2 linked regions of the Anolis sagrei genome follow. The protein of the gene in region 1 binds, or shares a complex with, the protein of each later gene. Links are inferred from orthologs where the notes say so. Each region holds a gene or a part of one and is shown in the gene's direction. Other genes may lie near its edges. The genes, in order: SCAP and INSIG2.

What was found.
Region 2: the proteins of SCAP (region 1) and INSIG2 are in contact, whole or in part, in a cryo-EM structure (PDB 7ETW), measured with the Homo sapiens proteins. The link is inferred for Anolis sagrei from reciprocal best matches to the Homo sapiens genes SCAP and INSIG2. Residues at the interface, in NP_036367.2 of Homo sapiens: Pro200, Ser206, Val282, Ala283, Glu284, Ile286, Pro287, Thr290, Ile294, Ala297, Tyr298, Phe301, Lys305, Tyr351, Val354, Val355, Glu359, Thr409, Leu410, Val411, Ser638, Tyr639; in NP_001308258.1 of Homo sapiens: Phe41, Val45, Leu48, Leu49, Ile51, Val55, Leu57, Phe58, Pro59, Val62, Ser65, Ile66, Glu104, Trp105, Ser106, Met109, Arg110, Val112, Ala113, Val114, Val116, Gly117, His120, Gln132.

Annotation. Positions count from the first base shown.
Region 1 is NC_090026.1:131,103,157-131,107,075, forward strand, and holds the start of SCAP (sterol regulatory element-binding protein cleavage-activating protein), read left to right. Parts: upstream 1-1,015; 5' UTR 1,016-1,219; intron 1,220-3,919. UniProt on the Homo sapiens protein: Escort protein required for cholesterol as well as lipid homeostasis.
Region 2 is NC_090021.1:217,544,758-217,548,676, forward strand, and holds the start of INSIG2 (insulin-induced gene 2 protein), read left to right. Parts: upstream 1-1,010; coding exon 1,011-1,278; intron 1,279-3,919. UniProt on the Homo sapiens protein: Oxysterol-binding protein that mediates feedback control of cholesterol synthesis by controlling both endoplasmic reticulum to Golgi transport of SCAP and degradation of HMGCR.

The DNA of each region.
Region 1 (3,919 bases):
TGTCTGGTTCTAATTCATTCACCACACCGTCAAAACTCTCCTCGATATTATTATCCTTCCTATACATATCTTCTGTATAGTCTCGCCACCTTCTCTTGATCTCTTCAGCTTCTGTTAGGTCCCTGCCATCTTTGTTTTTAAGGCCCATTCCACCTCACTCCTCAGGATGTCTGGTTCTAATTCATTCACCACACCGTCAAAACTCTCCTCGATATTATTATCCTTCCTATACAGATCTTTTGTATAGTCTCGCCACCTTCTCTTGATCTCTTCAGCTTCTGTTAGGTCCCTGCCATCTTTGTTTTTAAGGCCCATTCCACCTCACTCCTCAGGATGTCTGGTTCTAATTCATTCACCACACCGTCAAAACTCTCCTCGATATTATTATCCTTCCTATACATATCTTCTGTATAGTCTCGCCACCTTCTCTTGATCTCTTCAGCTTCTGTTAGGTCCCTGCCATCTTTGTTTTTAAGGCCCATTCCACTTCACTCCTCAGGATGTCTGGTTCTAATTCATTCACCACACCGTCAAAACTCTCCTCGATATTATTATCCTTCCTATACAGATCTTCTGTATAGTCTTGCCACCTTCTCTTGATTATTTATGTAGATTACTGCTTATACTCACCAATCAGGTTTTCTAGGTGCAAGGTTTGCCAAATCCTAGGAATAGAGGAAGGAAATTATTATTATTATTGATGATGAGGATGATGAAGAAAACCATAATATTTTGTCTTAAATCCTTGTAAATGAACGAAAAGCAAGCAATTTTGAGAAATACAAACAAACATTGTTATGTGTAGAGATAGGTTATATAGCTGGAGTTACTCCCATGACAGCTTTAAGGCTCTTCCTGGAGCATGCGCACAATCTTCGTCCCGGCGCTAGGACCAAGCGGAAGCTTTTGCAGCAGTTGGCATCAGCGAGCGGAGGGCGTGGCTTAGCAGAGCAGAAGAGAAAAAAAAAACACCCGGTGGCGCATGCGCGCAAAAGGTTGAAGTCTAGGGCAGGAGAAATGGCGGAAAGGGTTTGTTCCTCCCTTACTCGCGGGCTCTTTCTACGCATGCGCACGAAAAAGAGGCGGAGCGACGGAAGCCGGGAAGCGGCGAAGGAGGAGAACGAGGAGAAGGCGAAAGCGGGCGGCGTGTGAGGAGGCGCGGAGGGGAAGAAAGGAAGGAAGGAGGCGGTTGGAGAGCTGTTCCCCGTCTTTTTTTGAGGTGAGAAGGGGAAGGGAGAGAGGGAGGCTCCGTAGGCCGCGCCTGGGGCTGAGGGGAGCCGCACTACTCCCAATCAGGCTCCCTTTGGGCCTGTTTTGGGGACCCTTTGAGGGAGGCCTCGACCTGTTGAACTCCTCCTTCCTCAATGGCGATTAGGAACCAGCCTGGGAAGCCGTTTCAGTGTTGTAGTTACAATATTTGAATGGGTTTTAGGTGATCTTCGGTTTGATTGTAATGTTTACATAGAATCACAGAATCCTAGAGTTGGAAGAGACCTCCTGGGCCATCCAGTCCAACCCCATTCTGCCAAGAAACAGGAATATTGCATTCAAACCACCCCTGACAGATGGCCATCCAGCCCCTGTTTAAAAGCTTCCAAAGAAGGAGCCTCCACCACACTCTGGGGCAGAGAGTTCCACTGCTGAACGGCTCTCACAGCCAGGAAGTTCTTCCTCTTCCTCATGTTCAGATGGAATCTCCTCTCTTGTAGTTTGAAGCCATTGTTCCCTTGCGTCCTAGTCTCCAGGGAAGCAGAAAACAAGCTTGCTCCCTCCTCCCTGTGGCTTCCTTTCACATATTTATACATGGCTATCATATTTCCTCTCGGCCTTCTCTTCTTCAGGCTAAACATGCCCAGCTCCTTAAGCCGCTCCTCATAGGGCTTGTTCTCCAAACTCTTGATCATTTTAGTCGCCCTCCTCTGGACACATTCCAGCTTGTCAATCTCTCTCTTGAGTTGTGGTGCCCAGAATTGGACACAATATTCCAGGTGTGGTCTAACTAAAGCGGAATAGAGCCTGAGGAGCATGACTTTCCTAGATCTAGACACTAGGCTCCTCTTGATGCAGGACAAAATTCCATTGGGGTTTTTTTTTGCCGCCACATCACATTGTTGGCTCATGTTTAACTTGTTGTCCACGAGGACTCCGAGATCTTTTTCACACGTACTGCTCTCGAGCCAGGCCTCATCGTCCCTCATTCTGTCTCTTTGCATTTCGTTTTTTCTGCCTAAGTGGAGTATCTTGCATTTGTCCCTGTTGAACTTCATTTTTTTTTAGTTTTGGCCAATCATCTCTCTAATCTCTCAAGATTATTTTGAATCCTGCTCCTGTCCTCTGGAGTATTGGCTATCCCTCCCAATTTGGTGTCGTCTGCAAACTTGATGATCCTGCCTTCTAGCCCTTCATCTAAGTCATTAATAAAGATGTTGAACAGGACCGGGCCCAGGACAGAACCCTGCTGATGGCACTCCACTAGTCACTTCTTTCCAAGATGAAGAGGAAGCATTGGTGAGCACCCTCTGCGTTCGTCCATTTAACCAATTACTGATCCATCTCACCGTAGTTTTGCCTAGCCCACATTGGACTAGTTTGTTTGAGTTCAGAGGAGAGCAACTGCTTTGGGAGACGGTGGTCGGGCATCCGGACAACGTGGCCGGTCCAGCGGAGTTGATGGCGGAGGACCATCGCTTCAGTGCTGGTGGTCTTTGCTTCTTCCAGCATGCTGACGTTTGTCCGCTTGTCTTCCCAAGAGAATTGCAGGATTTTCCGGAGACAGCGCTGATGGAATCGTTCCAGGAGTTGCATGTGATGTCTGTAGACAGTCCACCTCTCACAGGTGTATAGCAGGGTTGGGAGGACAATAGCTTTATAAACCTTGGTCTCCCTACCGATGCCCCGGTCCTCAAACACTCTCTGCTTCATTGGGAAAAATGCTGCACTCGCAGAGCTCAGGCGGTGTTGTATTTCAGTGTCAATGTTGACTTTGGTGGAGAGGTGGTGGCCATGGGAGTGGAAATGATCAACATTTTGTAATGTTACACCAATAAGCTTTATCTCTGGCGTTGGAGAGGGATTGGCTGGTGACTGCTGGAAGAGCACTTTGGTTTTCTTGATGTTCAATGACAGGCCGAGCTTCTCCTATGCTCTGCGAAGGTGTTTAGAGTGGCTTGTAGATCTTCTTCTGAATGTGCACAGATGACGTTGTCATCAGCATACTGGAGTTGTATAACAGATGTTGTTGTAACCTTGGTTTTGGCTTTCAGTCTGCTGAGGTTAAAGAGCTTGCCATTTGTCCGATAGATGATTTCCACTCCGGTGGGAAGCTTCCCATCAACAAGGTGAAGTATCATAGTGATGAAGATGGAGAATAAAGTTGGGGCAATAACACATCCCTGTTTGATGCCTGATTCCACCTTAAATGGGTCACTTTGGGAGCCATTGCTGTCCAAGACTGTTGTCATCATGGAGGAGCCGCAGGATGTTCACATGCATGTCGTCTATAACCACAAGTCTACACCATTATCCTCCACCTCCTCCATTCAGTATTATCCACACACTTATCTAGTATGTCTTAGAGTTCATTCACTCTTTTGTTTTTGTTTTTTCCCTTCCCTCCCCCCCCCCCACCCCAAATACCACATTTCCATTAGAACTTTAACTCCATCCATGAGCTCAGCTTTTCCCATCACTGTACAATATTTACATTGGCTTCGCCTCTTTTTATCTATTCTGAATATATGAACCATTTCTCTTTAATTTTCCTCATTTTATCTTCCTTCATATCCTCACAGGTTACATTTGCAATAATTTCTGATTGGATCTGGTCAAACAAATATTTATTCCAATTAGCCATATTCGGTTTTTTTGCATCTTTCCAACCCCAAGCTATCACAGAATCATTGCTTTGAAGAAGCAAGAA
Region 2 (3,919 bases), on another chromosome or scaffold:
ATGGTACCTTTTGTTATCTTCCATCTAGTTTGACCGCCTCCCTTCTGGAGATGACCGCCTGGCTTGTCTAACCACCATGAGACTAGATTGACCTGTCTTCCCAGCATGGCTCTGGACACTGGGAACCCCAAAGACTCTTGAAGGGGTTGCCCCGATCAATGCCCTGCCATTCTCTCCACGCTCAGCCGACATCTTTTTTAGGTGAAAATGGGACTCGCTCTAAATGGACACTAGGGTTTGAAACCTGAAGTCTGGAATGCTTCCTCTCCAATGCAACTGCTGTAATAAAGGATTAGGATGTTTTATTTTTTGAAAAAAATCTTTTTTTATATGCATCTTTTCTCTCACAAAGGGACCCAAAGGGGCTTTCAACATGTTAAAAATACAGTACAAAATCAAACACACAAATATAAAACATTATAAACAAGCAAGATCAAACAAAGCAGTATACATTATTGTGCAATCTTACCACATTATATTGCACTTAGCATATTGTTATTATACGTAATATTAATAACAATATTAAATATGAATAACATATAATTTTGTCTTGTAAAAAAGCTAATAGAGGCAGAAGCAGAATTAACTGCACTTGTCAACATTTCCAGCAAAGACAAGATACAAAGATTATGATGTATGGCCTATATAGCAAAATAGCTGAATTTAATCTAATAAATTTAATACAGTTGTTATAAAAAGTATTTTTATATAATGTGCACTATTAGTATGACAAGGTTCAGTCAATCCAAATTATGAGTTTCATACAATCTATTTGGAAATAATAGGACAAAAAGAAAGAGGAATTTGAACCATAGCATTTCTTTCAAGTTAAGAACCTCTATGTTTTATGTGTATATGTGATTTCTAAAGAACATTTAGATATGTGTATGTACTTTAATTCTCCTTTTCCTTCTTTGAATAGGAATTGGAGGATGTCCTGAATCAAGGAAAAAAAGGATTGCTCCAGCCTTGGTTCTCCTTCTTTTCAGGCTTCAAACATTTTGTGCTGAATGTTGCTGGGAGTTCATAAGGCCATGGCAGATGCTGCTGCCCAGCCATCCATACGAAGGAAGTGTGGCCCATACATTTCTTCAGTCACCAGCCGCAGCCTCAACTTGATGCTTCGTGGGGTGGTCCTATTTTTAATCGGTGTCTTTCTTGCATTAGTATTAAACCTGCTACAGATTCAGAGAAATGTCACCTTGTTTCCCCCCGATGTAATTACAAGTATCTTCTCATCAGCTTGGTGGGTCCCACTTTGCTGTGGAACAGCTTCAGGTATGGCAGAACTGAGCAGATATACTAGGGAACCACTTGGGAAAATGATATGAAATCAGTCCAGTCCACACAAGGAGTGTGTGCCCAGAATCCCTTCCCATTGCCTTCAATAGTGCCTCAGTATTTGTAATTTTAGTTGTCAATAGCAAAACCTTTCTCTAAGTGCATCTACATTTTAGAATTAAAGGAGTTAGGCACCACTTTAACCTCCATGGCTCAGTGTAGATTGACAAGGTCTTTAACCTCTGCCAAAGAGTTCTGGTGTCACACCAACCTACAGTGCCCAAGTATCCATAGCATTGAGCCATTGCAGTTAAAGTGGTGCTTTAATCAGTGTAGATGCACCTTCTGTCTCTTTTTCTCTCTAGTTTTGAGAGGAATAGTTTAACCAAAAGCTTTATTTTAAAAAAATATATAATGTAAACTTAAAGAGCAAGTCAATCAGTGGAGTGATATATATTAGGAGTGTGCAAAATTCTGGACGTTTTGAATTTCAGAAAATTTTGGCATTTTGGAGACATGAACTGCCAAAATGAAACGCAGGAAGGACCCCGCCAAAGTATTAACAAATCAAAACATAAGGCTCTGAAACTTTCTGTGAAATTCGGAAAAGATTTGTTGATTCTGACCTTTTTTCCCAGTTTAACATAATCCGTTGTCCTGGGAGGGGAGAGGGGCGGGGGCTGACGTGATTGACAAGGGCAGCTGCACACTTTTTTTTCCTTGACAGCTGAAGAAGAAAGATATCAATAATGGTAATTACCTGGCCATTTTTTTCCAAGCGAGCAATCTCTCCATGAGACAGATGGGGCTGAGTGCTGCCATACTTGCTGCATCACATGCTCTTCCTCAGCCAGTCACTGGGCTTGTTTTCTTCTCCATTCTCCTCTCCTGTTGTGAAGTTGTTTTGGACTTCCAAGTCCCAGAAATCCCTGCTGAATAGCAACTGCACCTGGTTTTTTTTTTCTGCAAGCTGTCTCCTCCTCTCGATTAGGAGAGAGAAAATTTACTTTTATTTCCCCTAAAAATCAGTGGTGAGTGAAACGTTCTGAAATTTGGGAAAAATTATGTCCTGCATATGTTGTGTCATTGTTCAGAAATTCAAGGGGATCCCTTCTGTCGTTTTTTTTTAAATGTTATTTTTAAAAACTTTTAAAATTCCAAAAAATCAGTACATGAGCGAAATGTTCTGAAACTTGTGAGGCTTAAAGTTATAAAATTGTCCTTCAAGTGTTCCACATAAATGGCAGAGAAACCTCTAAAGTTCCCCCATTGCCACCAATGGAACAAAACAGTAATGAAATGAAACAAAACTTTAAAAATTCAGATTTGAAACTACCTCCCTCCCCATTTTTTGAAATATTTTCAAAATGAAATGGGCCATCTGAATTTTGAAACAAAATTCAAAACAGATTTCTGTTGCTTCGCACACTTCTAATACAGAGACAAGTGAAAAACATGAGCTAGTGAATGCATTTCCTTGAGCAGCTATGAACTTATGGCTTTTGGATTTTCTTGGTAAGGTAGTGTATGTATTTCTCGTTTCCTTTTGTTTCAGGGAATTCCTTGATAAATAAAATTGATACTTTATACTATCAGCAGAAACCCTAAGTAGGGAAGTCAAGAGCCAACACTGAGAGAGAATTCTCAAGTAAATGCCAAAAATAAGACAATTTGGCCATTAGGTTTTTTAATTTATTTATTTATTACCAAATTTGTACATCGCTCTTCTCAACCCTGAGGGGGACTCCAAGGATGTCTTATTTTTCCATGAAGATGAATTCTCATTTATTGTTGAACCAAAAAATGAACATTTATTATATACCCTACAGTAGTTGTCATCACAAACCATAAAAGCAGACACCCCTAAAGAATCAAAGTAATAGACTGCTTGCCTGACTCACACACAAGGCCACAAAAAATAAGGGCTGTAAAGTACTTGGCTCCCACACACTGTCTGGAGACTATAACGGTCTCTCACAGCAGTTCCTGGACCACTTGTACAGCAGGGACAGTATTGCAGCTTCTGACCACCAGAGGGAGTTCAAAAACTTTGCTAGGTCTTACTTTTGGGCAGTGGGGGGGGGGGCAGTGGCTTATATTTAGCAATTCAGCAAAACCTCTACTAGGTCTTATTTTCAGGAGATGTCTTATTGTCACAGAAACAGCGTAAATAAATATAATAATAATAATAATAATAATAATAATAATTTGCTAGTTTTTTCCTTCTTAGAAGGTGCACTTGGAAAAGTCTGATTACAACTATAGATTCTGTTTTACATCTAAACTTCATGTCCACCATAGTTTCTTCTTTTCCATAGCCAGACTGAAATTATTGAGTATTCTGCCTGACTTCATTTGACAATTACAATCAGCCCTCTACATCTGCAGATTTGATTATCCATAGATTTCATTAAAATGCAATCTCTAGCAATTTCTAGATCCTTCTGTGTGATTAGAGGGGAGTTGACCCAAAGTCGTGCTAGAAAAGGCAAAGGTATGATATATGATAAAAGAACAAAATTAAAACTGGGAGTGAGGGAAGAGAGAAGATATTTGAAAGATTGGCAAGTGTTACTGAAGTCAGTGGAACTTGCTTCTAAGTAGAAACATTTAGGATTTTGCTTTAAGAAAACCTACA